2 linked regions of the Pelodiscus sinensis genome follow. The protein of the gene in region 2 purifies or fractionates together with the protein of the main gene of each other region. This does not show direct contact. Links are inferred from orthologs where the notes say so. Each region holds a gene or a part of one and is shown on either strand. Other genes may lie near its edges.

What was found. The genes of interacting proteins can lie anywhere in the genome.
Region 1: the proteins of MECP2 (region 2) and YBX1 purify together in Homo sapiens (affinity purification with western blotting; 3 studies listed by BioGRID, with this or other methods). This does not show direct contact. The link is inferred for Pelodiscus sinensis from reciprocal best matches to the Homo sapiens genes MECP2 and YBX1.

What each region holds. Positions count from the first base shown.
Region 1 is NC_134733.1:3,156,870-3,166,667, reverse strand, and holds the start of YBX1 (Y-box-binding protein 1), read left to right. Parts: upstream 1-5,191; 5' UTR 5,192-5,351; coding exon 5,352-5,508; intron 5,509-5,869; coding exon 5,870-5,933; intron 5,934-9,798. UniProt on the Homo sapiens protein: DNA- and RNA-binding protein involved in various processes, such as translational repression, RNA stabilization, mRNA splicing, DNA repair and transcription regulation.
Region 2 is NW_027465896.1:71,854-81,444, forward strand, and holds the start of MECP2 (methyl-CpG-binding protein 2), read left to right. Parts: upstream 1-5,056; 5' UTR 5,057-5,174; coding exon 5,175-5,209; intron 5,210-7,147; exon of another isoform or gene 7,148-9,591. UniProt on the Homo sapiens protein: Chromosomal protein that binds to methylated DNA. It can bind specifically to a single methyl-CpG pair. It is not influenced by sequences flanking the methyl-CpGs.

The DNA.
Region 1 (9,798 bases), on a different chromosome or scaffold from region 2:
GGGCACCCTGTTGACTCATATCCAGATGTCATGTTTTGGATTTTAATGTGACCAGGCAGATCACTGTTGCATCCACTGTTGTGTGTTTGCCCCAAATTCTCTGCAGAGTGGGCCATATGAGGTGTCTAATGTAAGCTTGTGCTATGCTGATTCTGTCTATGCTACTCATATACTTATGAATATGGGCTCTGTATATATTTTCTGTCTAGGAGACAGCAGTAGGCATTGACCACAAATTGCGGGTGGTGGTGGCCCAATGAATAGTGAATGCTTCATGGGCAAAGGCTCGTAAGTGTTGCCAATTGACACCTGAGGAGCATACAATGGCCCTTTGCCTCGGGAGCACATACCTGGATACTCCATGGCTTCCTGCCCATAAAGGACACGGTGATCATGTGATCAGCTCCATTTTGGGAGGTACCATTACTCAGGAGAATAATGGATTTCTCTTTGCATGGACAAGCTTATAACAGTATCCTGGGGGTGCCTATATCTTTGTCTTCACTCTCGCTCTCTGCTCCAGAAGCACCTTTGCTGAGGACAGAGAGCCGGGAAGGAGTGTTCATAGAATCATAGAGCTGGAAGAGACCCCAGAAGGTCATCAAGTCCAGCCCCCTGCTCTAGACTAAATCAACCCGGCCAGGGCTTTGCCAAGCCGAGACTCAAACACCTCTAGGGATGGAGACTCCACTACTTCTCTAGGTAACCCATTCCAGTGCTTCACTACCCTCCTAGGGAAAGAGTTTTTCCTAATATCCAACCTGGACCTCTCCCACCACAACTTGAGACCATTGCTCCTTGTTCTGCCATCCATCACTACTGAGAACACCCTTTCTCCATCCTCTTTGGAATCTCCCTTCAGGAAGTTGAAGGCTGCCATCAAATCCCCCCTCACTCTTCGCTTCTGCAGACTAAACAGACCCAACTCCCTCAGCCTCTCCTCATAAGTCAGATGCTCTAGCCTCCTAATCATTTTGGTTGTCCTCTGCTGGACCCTCTCCTACCTTTTTGTAGTGGGGAGCCCAGAACTGGACACAATACTCCAGATGTGGCCTCACCAAAGCCAAATAAAGGGGAATAATGACATCTCTAGATCTGCTGGCAATGCTCCTCTTAATGCAACCTAATATGCTATTAGCCTTCTTGGATACAAGGGCACACTTTTGACTCATATCCAGCTCCTCATCCATTGTAACCCCCAGGTCCTTTTCTGCAGAACTACTACTTAACCGGTTGGTCCCCAGCTTGTAACTATGCTTGGGATTCTTCCGTCCCAAGTGCAGGACTCTACACTTGTCCTTTTGAACCTCATCAGATTTCTTGTGGCCCAATCCTCCAATTTGTCTAAATCACTCTGGATCCTATCTCTGCCCTGAAGCGTATCTACCTATCCCCCAGCTTAGTATCATCCGCAAACTTGCTGAGAGTGCAATCCATCCCGTAATCTAGGTCATTAATAAAGATATTGAACAAAACCGGTCCTAGAACCGAACCTTGGGGCACTCTGCTAGAAACCGACCGCCATTCTGACATCGAGATGTTGCTCACTACCTGCTGGGCCTGGCCTTCTAGCCATCTTTCTATCCATCTTACCGTCCATTTATCCAATCCACATTCCCTTAACTTCCTGGCAAGAATGTTGTGGGAGACCGTATCAAAAGCCTTGTTAAGTCAAGGTATATCACATCCACTGACTTTCCCATATCCACAGAGCCAGTTACCGCATCATAGAAGCTAATCAGATTGGTCAGGCACGACTTGCCCTTTGTGAATCCATGCTGACTATTCCTAATCACCTTCCTTTCTTCCAAGTGCCTCAAAATGGATTCCTTAAGGATCCCTTCCATGATTTTTCCAGGGACCGAGGTAAGACTGACCGGCCTGTAGTTCCCTGGATCGTCCTTCTTCCCTTTTTTGAAGATGGGCACTACATTTGCCTTTTTCCAATCATCCGGGATTTCTCCCGATCTCCACAATTTTTCAAAGATAATGGCCAAAGGCTCCTCAATGACATTTGCCAACTCCCTCAGTACCCTCGATGCATTAAGTTGGGACCCACAGATTTGTATACGTTTAGCTTTTCTAAATAGTTCCTAACCTGTTCTTTACCCACAAAGGGCTGTCCATCTTCATCCCATCTTGTGTCACTTAGCGCATTAGTCTGAGTGCCCACCTTGTCCATGAATACAGAGGCAAAGAAAGCATTGAGTATTTCAGCTTTCCCCACATCATCTGTCACTAGCTTACCTCCTTCATCGAGTAGGGGCCCCACACCCTCTCTGATCACCTTTTTCTTGTTAACATGACTGTAGAAACCTTTCTTGTTATCCTTCACATCCTTAGCCAGTCGCAATTCCATTTGCGCTTTCACCTTCCTGATAACCCCCCGGAATTCTTGAGCTAGACATTTAAACCCCTCCCTGGTCATTTGTCCAAGTTTCCACTTTTTGTAAGCTTCCTTTTTGTGCTTAAGTTCACCAAGGATTTCTCCTGTAAGCCAATCCAGTCTCCTACCATGTTTGCCTCTCTTGCTACGCATAGGGCTGGTTACTTTCTGTGCCTTCAATAAAGCTTCTTTAAAATACTGCCAGCTGTCCTAGACTCCTTTCCCCTTCATGTTAGCATCCCAGGGGATTCTGCCCATCAGGTCTTCGAGGGAGTCAAAATCCGCTTTTTTTGAAGTCCAAGGTGTGTATTTTACTATTCTCTTTTCTTTCTTTGGTCAGTATCCTGAAATCTACCTTCTCATGATCACTGCTTCCCAGGTTGTCACCTGTTTGTCCAATGTACATAGCAGACGGACACTTTCGGCACATGATAGCATAAATTATATTTCTGGATGCGCAGGAATGTGTGTTCTTGATCTTATAACTCACTTGGTTAGGTCCAACAATGGTATCAGCAGAATGAATATGTGGACAAAGCTGGCAACGGGGTTTGTTGCAAGGGAAGGTACCAGGGTTGGTCTTAGTGTGGTATGTCCTGTGGTTGTTGGTAAGAATCATCTTGAGGTTAGGTGGTTGTCTATAGGAGACTATGGGTCTGTCTCCCAGAGCCTCTTGGGGTATGGTATCCTGTTCCAGTGTTGCCGGCACACAGTGCCCGAGGGGGGCAACAGCTGGGTTTGTTGCCCGGTGTGCGCGCTCCAATAAACACACCGGTGTGGAGAAGCCAAAAAAAATTTATTTGAACGCTCAAATAGGTTCCAGGAGACATCTCAGGTCAGGCACACCAACGTAAGCAGTTTTCCCTCCTTATATACCCAGGTTGTTTACTTGCAGGAGAATAGTGAACTGTAGCAAGTTTCCCAGGCTGGGACATGCTGCCAGTCCCCCTCCTCCTCCTCTACAGAAACACATCTGAATTCTTCTTCTATACCACTGATAGTAACTAGGCAACTTTCAATGTCTTGCTGTTCCCAGCTGTTAGCGAGCTAGAGAAAAGTTATGTCTCGGGGGGGAAGGGGGCTTTTAGGGTGCTTGGGCCTAGAGCGGGGGCTCTTCATCGATCCTTGTGATCTTCCACTCCCCCGAGTTACCTAGGATCATGCCCAGTGACTCCAACACCAGTATAGGCTGTAGCTTATTGATAATGTGTTGGCCCCTTGGTAATGAATACACAACAGCAGGGAAATGCACGGTTCTGAGCAATTCTTCAATTCTTCAGTCCACTTAGGTGGAGTTGTAGAGGGTGTGGCTCACAGCCTAATATCATGGATTGGACAGCCAGGGGAGCAGATCACATTGGCAAATAGGAATATCCTTTTAGATCATTTATGTACAAAGCAACTTCCATCTCCTAGCACACACAGCAGTGATACAAGCTACCTGTAAAAGCGGCGAGGAGTCCTGTGGCACCTTATAGACTAACTGAAGTGTTGGAGCATAAGCTTTCGTGGGCAAAGACCCCCAGGACTCCTCACCGCTTTTGCAGATTCAGACTAACACGGCTACCCCTCTGATACAAGCTACCAGTGGAGCAAAAAGCACTGTTGGGTCCTAGTCCTGATTCTCACAGTCTGGATCTTCAATTCTACTGCCATCAGCCAGCCTCTACCACTGTCCAGCTGCTCCTGGTGGTGGAGGGCCTTGGACTCACAGCCCTGCCCTCTGCAAGCAAATGCCTTAACCCCAGCCCACTCCACCTCCCTATCTTCCAGGGGGTCCCTTATCCTGCTTTCCTAATGCAGGAGCTAGGTTAATCCCTGGGGCAGACGGTGTTAGCTGCCCTGTTGCTGGGTGGGTGGGTGTGGGATTGAGCCCACCATCTTGTGCTCCAAAGGCTGAAGCCCTAGCTCCAAGTTCACTGTAAATCCCAGTCCACCCCCCTACCTTCAGTGGGTCCCTTATCATGCTTTCCAAATTGGAGAGCTGGCTCCATTCCTGGGGTGGCCTGTGTTAACTGGCTATATTATTCTAGCTAGAAACCATCTTCCAAGCCTAGAAGTGCTCAGGCCTCAGGGGACTTCTCTCAGACTGATGGGATCTGCTCAGATTCACATCAGGGCCCTTCAAGGAACATGTGTGAAGGTGCTTCATATGAGACAGGAATAGTGTGTGTGTGTGTGGGGGGTTGGAGCTGGGCTGAGAGACATGCTGGGGGGCTTCTGGGGGCTAGGCTGGGGTGTGCCGGTTTTGTACCAATAGCAAGGTGGCAGTCCTATTTGCCAGCGAGAAGGCAGAGACTTCCCCTTAGACTGGGCGCCGCGGGGCTGTGTGCGGAGGCGAGGGCCAGGCTGCCCCAGCTCCGACCTGAGCACGTGCCCCTAGATAACTGCACGAGTTCAACCGAGGCCACGTGCTCCGGCCCGCGCCCTTCCGCTCCCTCCCAGGTGCAGAAGGCGGGATCACAGGGATGCTGCACCAACCACGCTCCAAAAGGGAGGAGTAACGAACCAGGCCGAAACAAGTCCCGGCAGCCGTGATTCGTGCAGCCAATGGGTGTACGCGTTGTATGATGGGCAGGCTCGACGGCCAATGGGCGCTAGCAAAAATGTGGCCGGGATAAGAACACCTAATAACGGAGCGCGTTCTATGATGGGCGAGAGCCACAGCCAACGGGTGTGACAAGCCCCTGAGGGCGGATTTCTAAAAGCCAATGGGTTTGCACGATCCGTGACGGGCAAGCTCCGCAGCCAGTGAAAGAGCTAGTGGGCGGTGCGTGCTGGGTGGCTAGCCGGTGCGGGCCGCCATTGTGGTCAGTTCGATCGGTATCGGGAGCGGAGAGCGGAGCCCAGCGAGCCCGGAGCAGGGAGCAGCCCCCCCCCCACGGCCGGCCCCAGTCACCATCACACTGCGGGAGGCGGCGCAACAGCCAGTCACCACCACCGTCCGCACCGAACAGCCGCCGCCATGAGCAGCGAGGCCGAGACCCAGCCGCCCGCCGCCCCTCTTCCCGCGGCGGCGCCCACCGCCCCCGCCGAGTCCAAACCTAACGGCGGCACAGGCAACGGTGGCAGCGGCCTGGCCTCGGCGGCGCCCCCCGCCGGCGGGGACAAGAAGGTCATCGGTGAGGGGGCTGAGGGGGGGAAGGGGAGGGGTCTGTGGGCGTCATCCCTCCTCCCCCGCAGGAAGGCGCGAGACCCCTGTCTGGTGCGCGCGCAGTGGCCGTTAGGCCCCCGCGCGCCGCTTGAGCCGTTGAGCCCCGCGTGCGGCGGCGGATGGGGGCGGGGCGGGCGCGGAGCCACTCAAAATGTCCGCCACGCGGGGCCTTTGTGTGAAACCCGCTTAGCCACGTGCCTGCCCGGGGCCCCCGGCGCGCGGTGCGGTGCGGCCCGGCCCGCCTGCCTCGCTGAGCCCGCGGTGGGGAGCCTGGCTCGGCGGCCCTGCGTGGGCGGGGCGTCACGTGACTGTCACGTTTTCCCTTTCAGCAACGAAGGTTTTGGGAACAGTAAAATGGTTCAACGTAAGAAACGGCTACGGCTTCATCAACAGGTGAGGAGCAAGGTGCCCAGGGCCAGGCCTGCGCCACGTGCGCCTTGCCCGGGGGAGGAGCGGCCTCAGCTGGGACCGTGCCTCTGTCACGCTGCTCGCCGAGCAGGCCCCCTCTGGCAAACGGCTTAGTGCTGAGGTGACTCGCCTGGGGAATGCATCTGACGAAGTGGGTCTTTGCCCACGCAAGCTTATGCTCCTACACTGCAGTTAGTCTATAAGGTGCCACAGGACTCCTCGTCGCTTTTGCAGATTCAGACTAACACAGCGACCCCTCTGATACTGGCCTGGGGAATGGGTTTGATGGCTGCTGCAGACCTTCCCCAGGGGGACGGTTCACTCTTCATGCCTCTTTCCCACCCAGCGCTGCTCTCACGAGGGTTGCTCTTCCAAATCCTTACTACTGAGTTTTCCACGAAAGCAGATAAGAAATCGAATGGTAGTAACGCCCGGTATCCCTCCCTAGAACAGCACAACTAAGACAGTGGGCTGTCATCATAGCCTCGTGTTTTGACATGTGGCCTGACGTCTGCAAGTGTTGTTCTGGTTGAGATTCTGGGTGGTATTTCCATGTAAACATTGGATCAGAATGAGATTATAGTTTCTGTAACCTTTTCACAGGTATTGTAGGGAATGTGTGCGATTCGAACATGACCTGACCTCCTGTCCCATTGAGCTTTTCACAGAAGCAATAACAGTTAAGATAGGTGTCCACTCTGTCTTCTAGATTTATTGTCTTGAAGTGTTTTTAATAAATTGGTTTCAATGGGGATATTTACTCAGTGTTGGAAGTAGTTTGATTTTTCATAGTTATCATTCTTTGATCCTTTAAGATGGTTTTTAAAGGTATAACACTTTGGTTCATGTTGTGTGTTAATACTTGTTTGATTCTAAGCTGTGTATAAATGTATACAAGTGATAAGCCTTAATAGCAGACTTAATTAGGTATTGATATTTGCATTAGTATTTTCAAAATTCATTTGACTGTAAGTTGGGATTGGTCTTGCCTAGAGCAGGAGGCTGGACTTGATGACCACCTGAGGTCTTTTCCAGCTCTATGATTCGATAAGCATAGTAATTTACACTGAGTTTACTTTAATTTTTAATTATTGTGCTCAGAAATGTCACTTAGAGTATGCTCTGTTTTCAGTGCCAACTGAACTATAAAGAGCATGCTGACTTACAAAGGTCTGGGTCAGTAGCTTTAAACTCATTTGGTTAGAACTTTTGTGCAAAGTTGGATTTTTAAATATCTTTTAAACACTATTACAAGGAACTTCTAAGATGGTCAATACTGCAAAAAGCTAGAATTTTCTGTATTTTGGAATTTCTTAACTTCGTGCATTTGATAGCACTTCATTTAAATACCATTTTCACTGTTTGCTTTATGCTGTCAATTAGCAAGGGAGACTGAGAAATACCTTATAAAATGCTGCATTTTAAATAAAACATTTTGCACAAGGGGTTTTCTGAATGAATTTTAAAATGTCAGCGTATGTTTTCTAAAGAATTGTCAGAAAATTAAAAAAACTGGATATAGTGTAATGTACTCAAAGTATTCTGTTGAAGTTTGGAATATTTTAAGAACTGTTAGTCCTTGTGATGGAATCTCTTGAGTGACTCAGCAGAGGTGCTTTAAGTGCTGGGTGCATATTAATAAGATGCAAAGTTCCTTTACAGCTCAATTCTGGAAGTTTTCTGCATGTAGAGCTCTCATTGAAGGCAGTGGGTGTTTTGCGAAGAGGTGGAGAATAATGCCCTTAGTTATTCTCCTTTCCTCCTTATTACTTTTCATAATCCATTTATTGTTTTGAAAGGTGTACAGTAGAACCTAAATTATTTGGGAGGCTCATACTATCTGAACCTGTCACTCAAGGTCATGTGAAATAACACAATAAGCAATTATAGACAACAGTTGACTTTATTGTACAAATAAGATGTTTGTTTACTTTTAGTGAGCCAGAGTGCACACACTTCAAGCTGCTTTTGCTAACTTCTCTTAATAGGATATGTAGGAGCTAGTGTTGACAAAGCAAACTACTTTGAATTCCTTATTCATCCTGGGTGCAAGTGCAGTGCTCTGATATGTTCATAAAGATGGCTGGATTATGTAAAAGATCAATATGTAATTGGCTTTGCGCACACATAATTCAGAGTTCCCTCTAAGATGCATGGCTTTGTAGGTGCCTGATGAGCCAATGGAAGCTATTGTGGAGGAGGGAAAGGTGCCTTTTCCCTGGTTGCAGTAGCTCCTTGCTAAGACTGGAGGAGAAACACATTCTCCTGGCTCCAGCAGCAGGGCTAGATTAAGAATGGGGCTTTAGGAGCTGCAGCCTGGGGCCCCATGCTAAGGGGGAGGCTTTTAGTCCAGGCACCTGGGCTGAAGCCCTTTTAACCTCTGTTTTATGGGCCAGTCCTTCCTGGCAAAGGGGAAGGGAGTTGGCTCTGCGTGCTGCTGTCCTCTGTCCCTGCAAATCCCTCACCTGTGAGCCCCAGCTCCCATTGGCAGCGAATTGTGGCCAATGGGAGCTATGGGGCAGGTGCTTGCAGGTGTGTGTGGAATCATCTGTTCATCCCACTATAAAATAGGAGTTGCCTCAGGTAAGTATCCCTTGTCCCAATGCTCTGTTCCAGCCTTGAGCCCCTTCCCGCATCCTAACTCCCTGACCCTGCATCCCAGCCCAGCATTCTGCCTTGAGCTCGCTCCTACATGCCAAACCCCTAAGTTGGAGCCTCCTGCACCCTAAAAGCTTCATTGCCAACCAGAGCCCTCACCCCCTCAATCCTGAGCCCCTCCAACACTGAATCCTCAGCCCCATCACAAATTGCCCCTGTGTAGAATTAATTTTATGTGCACCATTACGGAAGTAATGTGTTGCACATTACCTCCACATTGGTGCACATAAGAAAATTCATTCCATATACGGACAATAAAAAATTAGAGGGAACAATAGTACAGTTTATATTTCTGGACATTCATACTGTTTAAGTCAAGCAATATTTATGTGCAGCCTTTTAATTCTGTGGGTGAATCTTAAACACCAGACCAATGATGTTTAAATTGTAAATTCTAACAACTCTTGATCATTGCATAGGGTTATATAGTCTACTTGTAGGGAAAAGCTTCAACAGTTACATTCATTAAAGAAAATGTCACTATCAGAAAATGTAAATTAATCAAGGAAATCACAGCACATAGTTAAAAGACTTCTTTTCAAAATATTAACTAATATGAGTTGGGCAGTTTTAGTCCCTTGATCCTGTTACTTTAATGGGAAAAAAGCTTTGGGGAAATCTATTGCTTGTATTTAATTGCAGATTTATTAATTTTTGTAACTTTGATCATCACGTTTTAATGGAAAATACATGTTAACTTGATGGTATGGCTGCCTATTTTATGTATAGTCTTGTTGAATGTTTCTTAGTTACGATAAAAATTAGATCTTCAGTGACAGAGGTGGCCTCTTCACCTAAAAAAGGGTTGCACATGTTGATGTTGTATTTGAAACACCATGACATAGTCATAAAGGAGTATACTCTGAATATCCACAGGGAATAGACCTGTTGAGTAAGACCTGTTGCTTTTATAGTTTTTTCTAATCGTTTCAGTATATGGGTTGTGTAGTGCAAAGAGGAGATGTACACAATAATGAATAGTCTAAAGAAAAACTGAGCACTCAAACATATAATAAAAACACAGGGTGATTTCAGAGGATACCAAAAGATAAGTTTAAAATTGTTAAAGAAAATACTACTTTACATGATGCATAATTAACTTGACTATCTTATTCCCTGATACAGTAATATCACTTGAGGCAATTATTTTAGGAGTTAAAGTATTAGATGTCTATATGGCTAATGAGCACAT
Region 2 (9,591 bases):
CCCGGCCAGGCCCTAACACCCAGGCTCCAAGGTGGGGGGGGTTATAATCCCTGCCTCCCCAAGGGGACTGGGAGCATGGGCAGAAATTAAAGTCAAGGGGATTATCTTGAGGCAGCTGTTGTGAGGCCAATTAAAGCCCGGCTCATCTCTCATCGCGCTTCCGGGGGGGGGGGAGCAGCCCCCCCCCCCCACTTCTCACCTACCTGGGGCACAGGCTGGCTGGCTCAGAGACAGAGTCTTTCCCCTCGGGGGAGCGTCAGTCGAGGGGATACATTTGGGTGTGGGGCTAATGGCCCTGGGGGCAGCTGCATGTCTGACAGCATGGGTGGGCCCTTTCCCTGACCCAGAAAACTCCCTTCTTATTCTGGAGCCAGGGAGAGAACCCAGGAGTCCTGGCTCCCAGCCCTTTGCCCAGATGCCTCGTGCCAAGCATGGCCCATATAACGGGAGGGCCCAGCAGAGATGGGAGAGCGGCGCCCCCTGCTGGAGGGCTGGGGTGGTTACTGACCAGACAGCGGGTGCCCTGAAGACCAGATGGTAGGTTGAGGGCCCAGGCTGTGACAGTCCATGGGCTGGGGGGGCACATTTCTCATGCACTGACACAATGCCTTCAGCCATAGGTGGCTCAATAGGGTGCCCCACGGCTGCCCACAGGGTTGGGGCTGGAGCTAGCGCAGCTGCGATTCCCCGCTGAATGGCAGGAGGTCTTTGGCCGCAGCCTCTGCTGCTGAGAGGCCAAAGCAGCAGGCGGGGGTTTGGGCGTGAGTCACGAGTAATGGGGGAGAGCAGGAGAGGGGCATGGTGGACTCGGGGGGTGGCTGTGGGAGAGAACAGCCTTGGTATGACGGGGTGGCCATGGAGTGATGGGGAGGCCAGGCTGGGCGACTGAGAGAGCTGTGGCATGACGGGGTGATCACTTTGGGGAGAGCGGGGAGTCATGGCAAGGCAGCCACCTTGTGGGGGCTTTGGCATGAAAGGGAGGCCAGCGGACGAGGTGGGGGGCAGCCAAGCTGGAGAGCTAAGTGGCCTTGGCATGATGAGAGGACTATGTTGGGGGCCCAGTGCGGATTTGAAGTGACGGGGGGCCATGTTGTGAGGCCCAGGGAGGCTCTGGGGTAGCAAGGTGGGTAGGCTGGGATGCTGGGGAACGGCCATGATGGGGCAGGCAGGCTGGAATGTGTGTGCGGGTAATGGGGCAGGGAGGCTGGGATGCCAGGCAGGGCGCTCTGATGAGGCAGTCAGGCAGGGATGTGGGGGAGGCTGTGATGGGGCAGCATGCGAGATGGGGGGCTGTGATAGAGCAGGCAGAATAGGATACAGGGGGGGGACTGTGAGGGATGTCGGGGGGCTATGATGGGATGCCCAGGCTGGGATGCGGGGGGGCGGGTTCGGAGGGGGTGTCCAGGCTGGGATGCGGGGGGGGGGGGGTGTTGTGAGGGGGCGTCCAGGCTGGGATGAGGGGGGGTTGTGAGGGGGCGTCCAGGCTGGGATGCGGGGGGGGGGGTTGTGAGGGGGCGTCCAGGCTGGGATGCGGGGGGGGGGGGTGAGGGGGCGTCCAGGCTGGGATGCGGGGGGGGATGTGAGGGGGCGTCCAGGCTGGAATGAGGGGAGGGTTGTGAGGGGGCGTCCAGGCTGGGATGCGGGGGGGGGGGGGTGTGAGGGGGCATCCAGGCTGGGATGCGGGGGGGGGTGAGGGGGCGTCCAGGCTAGGATGCGGGGGGGGGGTTTGTGAGGGGGCGTCCAGGTTAGGATGCGGGGGGGGGGTGTGAGGGGGCGTCCAGGCTGGGATGAGGGGGGGATGAGGGGGCGTCCAGGCTAGGATGCGGGGGGGGGGGGTGTGAGGGGGCGTCCAGGTTAGGATGCGGGGGGGGGGTGAGGGGGCGTCCAGGCTGGGATGCGGGGGGGGGTGAGGGGGCGTCCAGGCTGGGATGCGGGGGGGGGGGTGTGAGGGGGCGTCCAGGCTGGGATGCGGGGGGGGGGGGGTGTGAGGGGGCGTCCAGGCTAGGATGCAGGGGGGGGGTGTGAGGGGGCGTCCAGGCTGGGATGCGGGGGAGGTGTGAGGGGGCGTCCAGGCTGGGATGCGGGGGGGAGGTGTGAGGGGGCGTCCAGGCTGGGATGCGGGGGGGGGGGGTGTGAGGGGGCCTCCAGGCTGGGATGCGGGGGGGGGTGTGAGGGGGCGTCCAGGCTGGGATGCGGGGGGGGTGTGTGTGAGGGGGCGTCCAGGCTGGGATGCGGGGGGGGGGGTGTGAGGGGGCGTCAAGGCTGGGATGCGGGGGGGGGTGTGAGGGGACGTCAAGGCTGGGATGCGGGGGGGGGTGTGAGGGGGCGTCCAGGCTGGGATGCGGGGGGGGGTGAGGGGGCGTCCAGGCTGGGATGCGGGGGGGGGTGTGTGAGGGGGCGTCCAGGCTGGGATGCGGGGGGGGTTGTGAGGGGGCATCCAAGCTGGGATGCGGGGGGGGGGGGGGTGAGGGGGCATCCAGGCTGGGATGCGGGGGGGGGGTGAGGGGGCGTCCAGGCTAGGATGCGGGGGGGGGGGGTTTGTGAGAGGGCGTCCAGGCTGGGATGCGGGGGGGGATGTGAGGGGGCGTCCAGGCTGGGATGCGGGGGGGGCTGTGACGGGGCGTCCAGGCTGGAATGAGGGGAGGGTTGTGAGGGGGCGTCCAGGCTGGGATGTGGGGGGGGGGCTGTGAGGGGGCGTCCAGGCTGGGATGCGGGGGGGGGGTGAGGGGGCGTCCAGGCTAGGATGCGGGGGGGGGGTTTGTGAGGGGGCGTCCAGGCTGGGATGGGGGGGCTGTGAGGGGGCGTCCAGGCTGGAATGAGGGGAGGGTTGTGAGGGGGCATCCAGGCTGGGATGCGGGGGGGGTTGTGAGGGGGCGTCCAGGCTGGGATGGGGGAGGCTGTGAGGGGGCGTCCAGGCTGGGATGAGGGGGGGGTTGTGAGGGGGCGTCCAGGCTGGGATGAGGGGGGGGTTGTGAGGGGGCGTCCAGGCTGGGATGCGGGGGGGGGATGTGAGGGGGCGTCCAGGCTGGGATGCAGGGGGAGGTGTGAGGGGGCGTCCAGGCTGGGATGCGGGGGGGGGGGGGGGTGAGGGGGCGTCCAGGCTGGGATGCGGGGGCGTCCAGGCTGGGATGCGGGGGGGGCGTGTAAGGAGGCGTCCAGGCTGGGATGCGGGGGGGGCGTGTAAGGAGGCGTCCAGGCTGGGATGCGGGGGGGGGTGCAAGGGGGCGTCCAGGCTGGGATAAGGGGTGGGGTGAGGGGGCGTCCAGGCTGGGATGCAGGGGGGGTCTGAGGGGGCGTCCAGGCTGGGATGGGGGGGGGTTGTGAGGGGGCGTCCAGGCTGGGATGAGGGGGGGATGAGGGGGCGTCCAGGCTAGGATGCGGGGGGGGGGTGTGAGGGGGCGTCCAGGTTAGGATGCGGGGGGGGTGTGAGGGGGCGTCCAGGCTGGGATGAGGGGGGGATGAGGGGGCGTCCAGGCTAGGATGCGGGGGGGGGGGGTGTGAGGGGGCGTCCAGGTTAGGATGCGGGGGGGGGGTGAGGGGGCGTCCAGGCTGGGATGCGGGGGGGGGGTGAGGGGGCGTCCAGGCTGGGATGCGGGGGGGGGGGTGTGAGGGGGCGTCCAGGCTGGGATGCGGGGGGGGGGTGTGAGGGGGCGTCCAGGCTAGGATGCGGGGGGGGGGGTTTGAGGGGGCGTCCAGGCTGGGATGCGGGGGGGGTGTGAGGGGGCGTCCAGGCTGGGATGCGGGGGGGAGGTGTGAGGGGGCGTCCAGGCTGGGATGCGGGGGGGAGGTGTGAGGGGGCGTCCAGGCTGGGATGCGGGGGGGGGTGTGAGGGGGCGTCCAGGCTGGGAAGCGGGGGGGGGGTGTGAGGGGGCGTCAAGGCTGGGATGCGGGGGGGGGGTGAGGGGGCGTCCAGGCTGGGATGCGGGGGGGGGTGAGGGGGCGTCCAGGCTGGGATGCGGGGGGGGGGTGTGAGGGGGCGTCCAGGCTGGGATGCGGGGGGGGGGGTGTGAGGGGGCGTCCAGGCTGGGATGCGGGGGGGGGGGTGTGAGGGGGCGTCCAGGCTGGGATGCGGGGGGGGGTGTGAGGGGGCGTCCAGGCTGGGATGCGGGGGGGGGTGTGAGGGGGCGTCAAGGCTGGGATGCGGGGGGGGGGTGAGGGGGCATCCAGGCTGGGATGCGGGGGGGGGTGTGAGGGGGCGTCCAGGCTGGGATGCGGGGGGGGGGGGTGAGGGGGCGTCCAGGCTGGGATGCGGGGGGGGGGGTGTGAGGGGGCGTCCAGGCTGGGATGAGGGGGTGTGAGGGGGCGTCCAGGCTGGGATGCGGGGGGGGGGGTGAGGGGGCGTCCAGGCTGGGATGAGGGGGGGATGAGGGGGCGTCCAGGCTAGGATGCAGGGGGGGGGTGTGAGGGGGCGTCCAGGTTAGGATGCGGGGGGGGGTGAGGGGGCATCCAGGCTGGGATGGGGGGGCTGTGAGGGGGCGTCCAGGCTGGGATGGGGGGGGGTTGTGAGGGGGCGTCCAGGCTGGGATGGGGGGGCTGTGAGGGGGCGTCCAGGCTGGGATGGTGGGGGCTGTGAGGGGCCGTGGCGGGGGTAGCCATGTTGTGACGAGGCAGGCGGGGCGCCGGGTGCCCAGGGCCGGAGTGGGGGGCTGCGAGGCCCAGGCAGTGTCCGGTGCCGCTGGCGGAGGGGCCGGGAGCTGCTGGTGTGCGGGGGTCGCCAGCGGGCTCGTCTGCGCCGGGAGAAACCGCGAGAGGAACGCACTGCGGTGACGGCTGAAGAGAAAAACCGTTTAAAACCGTTAAATTTCAAATCTCCGTAGCTTGAGGCCTCTCCCCGCCCCCTTAGTAAAGTGAGGGATGGGCCGCCGGACCAATGGGCGAGGTGAGCGGCCGCCAGGGCCCAATCAGGATCCGCGCGCGCTCCCACGGGCCCCACCCTTTTAGAACGTTGTAACTGACAGCGCTTCCCGCCAATTCCAACGGCCGCCGGGAGCGCACCGGCCCCGCCCGTCGGGGCCAACGGCGTAACCAATGAGCGCGGGGCGGCGCATTGAGCGACAGCGGCGGCGCCCAATGGCCGCTGTAGGGGCGGGCTCTTCGGTCCGGGTTTCCTCTCCGGCTCGGTCTATTCCCCCCCGCCCCCCCTCACTCCCCGCGGGTTCTTCGCTGCGAAGAAAATGGCGGCGGCGCCGAGCGGAGATGAGGAGAGATTGTGAGTGACCGGGGGAGGGAGGAGACAGTGGGGGACGGGACCATTCGGCCCCATCCCGCGGGGGGAGTCGGACGGGCCCATCTCGCGGGCCCCGCGCCAGCAGAGGAGGGGGAGCGCGCGCGGGGGGCTGTGGCCGTTGGTTCCTTCCCGCTCGCGGCGGCCCCTCCTCCCCCTCCCCTTCGCGCGCGCTCGGGGGCCCCGAGTGCGTCACAGCGGCCCCCGTTGCCCTGGGCGGGGCCGCCCCTCACCTGGGGGTGTGGAGGGAGGTCAAAGGTCAGCTCGCGCCAGCTGGGCCCCTCGCGACGCCCCCGCTGCCAACGGTTCGCGCCCCCCGCGCGCCAACGGCCCGGCTCGCGCCCCTCCCCCCGCGCGCCAACGGCCCCTTTGCCGCCCCGCGCCCACCTGCCCCGCCGGCCCGTCACGCCCCCCGGCCCCGCCCCCGCCGGGGACAGCGAGGGGCCCGGGTCCTTCTGGCGGGGCCCGGGGCCGGGGGGGGCCTGGCGGGGACACGGGGTCGGGGGGGGGGGCCTGGCGGGGACACGGGGCCCGGGGTCGGGGGGGGCCTGGCGGGGACACGGAGCCGGGGGGCCCGGGGTCGGGGGGGGGCCTGGCGGGGACACGGAGCCGGGGGGGGCCTGGCGGGGACACGGGGTCCGGGGTCGGGGGGGGCCTGGCGGGGACACGGAGCCGGGGGGGGCCTGGCGGGGACACGGGGTCCGGGGTCGGGGGGGGGGCCTGGCGGGGACACGGAGCCGGGGGGGGCCTGGCGGGGACACGGGGTCCGGGGTCGGGGGGGGGCCTGGCGGGGACACGGAGCCGGGGGGGGCCTGGCGGGGACACGGGGCCCGGGGTCGGGGGGGGCCTGGCGGGGACACGGGGCCCGGGGTCGGGGGGGGCCTGGCGGGGACACGGAGCCGGGGGGGGGGGCCTGGCGGGGACACGGGGCCCGGAGCCGGGGGGGGCCTGGCGGGGACACGGGGCCGGGGGCGGGCCTGGCAGGGGCCCGGGGTCGGGGGGGGCCTGGCGGGGACGCGGAGCCGGGGGGCCCGGGGTCGGGGGGGCCTGGCGGGGACACGGGGCCCGGAGCCGGGGGGGGCCTAGCGGGGACACGGGGCCCGGAGCCGGGGGGGGCCTGGCGGGGACACGGAGCCGGGGGGGGGCCTGGCAGGGGCCCGGGGTCGGGGGGGGCCTGGCGGGGACGCGGAGCCGGGGGGCCCGGGGTCGGGGGGGCCTGGCGGGGACATGGGGCCCGGGGTCGGGGGGGGCCTGGCAGGGACACGGAGCCGGGGGGCCCGGGGTCGGGGGGGCCTGGCGGGGACACGGAGTCGGGGGGGCCTGGCGGGGACACGGGGGTCGGGGGGGGCCTGGCAGGGACACGGAGCCGGGGGGCCCGGGATTGGGGGGGGGGCCTGGCGGGGACACGGGGCCCGGGGTCGGGGGGGGCCTGGCGGGGACACGGAGCCGGGGGGCCCGGGATTGGGGGGGGGGCCTGGCGGGGACACGGGGCCCGGGGTCGGGGGGGGCCTGGCGGGGACACGGGGCCCGGGGGGGGGGGCCTGGCAGGGACACGGAGCCGGGGGGCCCGGGGTCGGGGGGGGCCTGGCGGGGACACGGAGCCGGGGGGCCCGGGGTCGGGGGGGGCCTGGCGGGGACACGGGGCCGGGGGCCCGGGGTTGGGGGGGGCTGGCGGGGACACGGGGCCCGGGGTCGGGGGGGGCCTGGCGGGGACACGGGGCTGCCGTACCTGGGAGCTGAGACCCTGCGCTGTGACACCGGCCTGGGCTGTGCAGAGACCTCCAGCCAGACCCCTGCCTCATCTGCTTGCTCGCCCTTGGGGGTCCAGTGCTTGCAGACGGGGGTCAGTGCGCTGGCAAACGGGCTCTGTGTCTTTGGACTGGGAGAAGTCCAGGCAGTAACAGCACAGGTAGCGCCAAAGAAGAGCAGCTGGCAAACCTCCTTGCCCCTGCTCACCGCAGGCTCTTAAGAGGTCATTGAAACATTACATCCCACCCCAAGGGGCACAACCAAGGGCTGCAGGTGCATTCCTGGTGGGGTGGTCTCTCAGGAGGGGTGTACCCCACAGCTTTCCCCATGCCTGCCCCAAGTGTCTCAAAAATCAGATCAGTGTCAGAATCACATGCTGTTTTCGTCCCTGCCCAAATAGTGGGTCCCTGGGCAGTTTGTGCTGTTGTGGGTCAGGATTCTGGTGGGGCTCTCTGGACTTGAGAGTACTGGAGGTCAATTGAAGTGACTCCTGGGGCTTGGGTTGCAGGACTTGTGATGAATGCCCAAGAGCTAGCTGCCGGCGGGGAAGAGGACTCGACCAGAGCATTGTGATGGGGGTGGGACTGATCCAGGTCGAGAGGATTCTGGTGTGATGGGGGAGCCCCTGAGATTTGTCAGCAGCAGTAAGGGGACTGCCAATTTCGGTTGAGGGAGCCCATCCATCGTGTGACATGATGGGGGGCCCCCCATCTCAGAGTGGGCTTGCTTGGCACAACAGGGCCCCCTCTGGCTACTGCCGTGCCATACTAGAGATGAGTGTGTGCATTGGGGAGTAGCCCTCAGTGTATGTTGGTGTGTTAGCTGCACTCATGGTGCCTCATGGGGAGGGAGCAGGCACTGACTTGCTGCACGTGGAAGGCGGAGCCCCCTTGCTGAAGGTGGGTGGGTGAGACTCGGGAACTAAACCCAGGCTCCTGGTGGCGTTGGCCAGGATGCGGGGATTGTATTTTTGGAGGCTGAAGGGCTGCTGACCACGTACGGCCTCTGCTGTACTGAGCAGCCAGCGTTGTTGTGTCTGTATTCGGAGGGATTGCCCTGCACTGTTGTCTGGATTGCTGGGGGAGGGGTCTTCATGTGCAGGCGGGGTTCCACGGCTCACTTCTTCTGCTCCAGGTGTGAGCATTGCTCGAAGATGCTCTGACTTGTGTCCAAAGCTTAAGGTTTGTCCTTGCCTGCGGGCTGACCGTAGCCTCCGCTCACCATCCGTAGCCCCACACGTGGGGTGAATTTTGGCACCTGGGCATTTCACTGGGCCAGACGCCCGTCCCGATGTCGCAGAGACCGTGATTCTGAAGATGCTCCTATGAGGCAAAGTGGAGGGGGGGGTCCCTCTAGGATTCCCCAGGTGTAAAAATCTGTGGCTGGGTGAAAGTATTGGGTGGGGAGTGGTTGGGGGTTGGCTGGACAAGTAGTTGGAGCCTCCCGGGTAGGAGGTCAGACCTGTCTCTCTTGTGAGCTCACTAGGAGATGGCTTGGGGCTGGGGCCTGCTGCTTTGGAGGCTTCAGGGGAACCTCGACAGCTTCTGGTTTTGCTCGTACCACGGGGGACTTGAGTCCCAGGGGTGCTCAGTTAGTGCTTATGAAAACCAGGCTGGTGCCGGCTCAGATCTGACTCGTGTTCACTCTGAGCCCACCATGGCCTGTGCCTCGCCTCTGTCCTGCCACCACTGCACGGAGTTGGTGCTAGCGCTTGGAAGCCGCAGCATGCCTTGGAGTACCTCTCTGGAAATGCACTTTCGGAGCATGGGAGAAATGTTCCTTTCCCCCTCCCCAGTCATGAGGCTGAGGATTGAAAGCAGAATGTTAACATTCTTGTGTCCGTTCCCCTGCGAACAGCGTTTCAGGGTCGGTGCCGCTGTGAACCTGCTCTCTGCCGTGGGGAGACGCCGGGAGTGGAAAGTGAAAGTTGCTTGAAGTGTTGGCTCTGGGTCAGGCCTCCGGGATGCCTAGGTTCTTGCCCCGGCTTCTCCCGCTGAGTCACTTTGCTGACCCAGGTCTCACTGCCGCCCTGAGGGTGAATTCCCCTTTCTGCACCCTGGCCATTTGACCCTGAGATGAACACTTGGGTGCTGCCCTGGGCCTTCTCAGCTAGCGTGAGCAGGGACAAGTGCGTCCGTAGGAGTTTCCATCGGGGGATTTAGAGACTGCCTGAGACCAGGCCCCAGCTCAGACTGGGACCCTCCCTTGTGCGAGGTGCTGGGTCCAGCCGTGTTATCTTTTGGCCATCCTGCTGAGATCAGGGACCCTTGCAGCAGACTGCACAGACCCCTGCCAACACCCTCAAGCATGTGTGACTGCGTAAGGCCACTGGCGTCCTAGCTTTGCCACTGCTCACCCAGCTGTGCTGCCCAGCCTGTTCCCCAACGTGCCGAAGGGCAGGAGCCTGCCCCGATCTTTGGCTCAGGTGGTGACTCACCGGGTCTGTGCAACGCCTGGTGTGATGGGAGCCCGGGCGTGTCTGGGTTGTGGGGGGCGCTGATCTCGCCTTGGGGGGAGTCTGCAGCACCTGGCACAAGGGGGGCTGTGCAGCTCTGATCTCAGTTAGGCTGAGAGGGTTTGTGTGGGGCCCAGTCCTGGCCAGGTGCTGCATGTGGGGC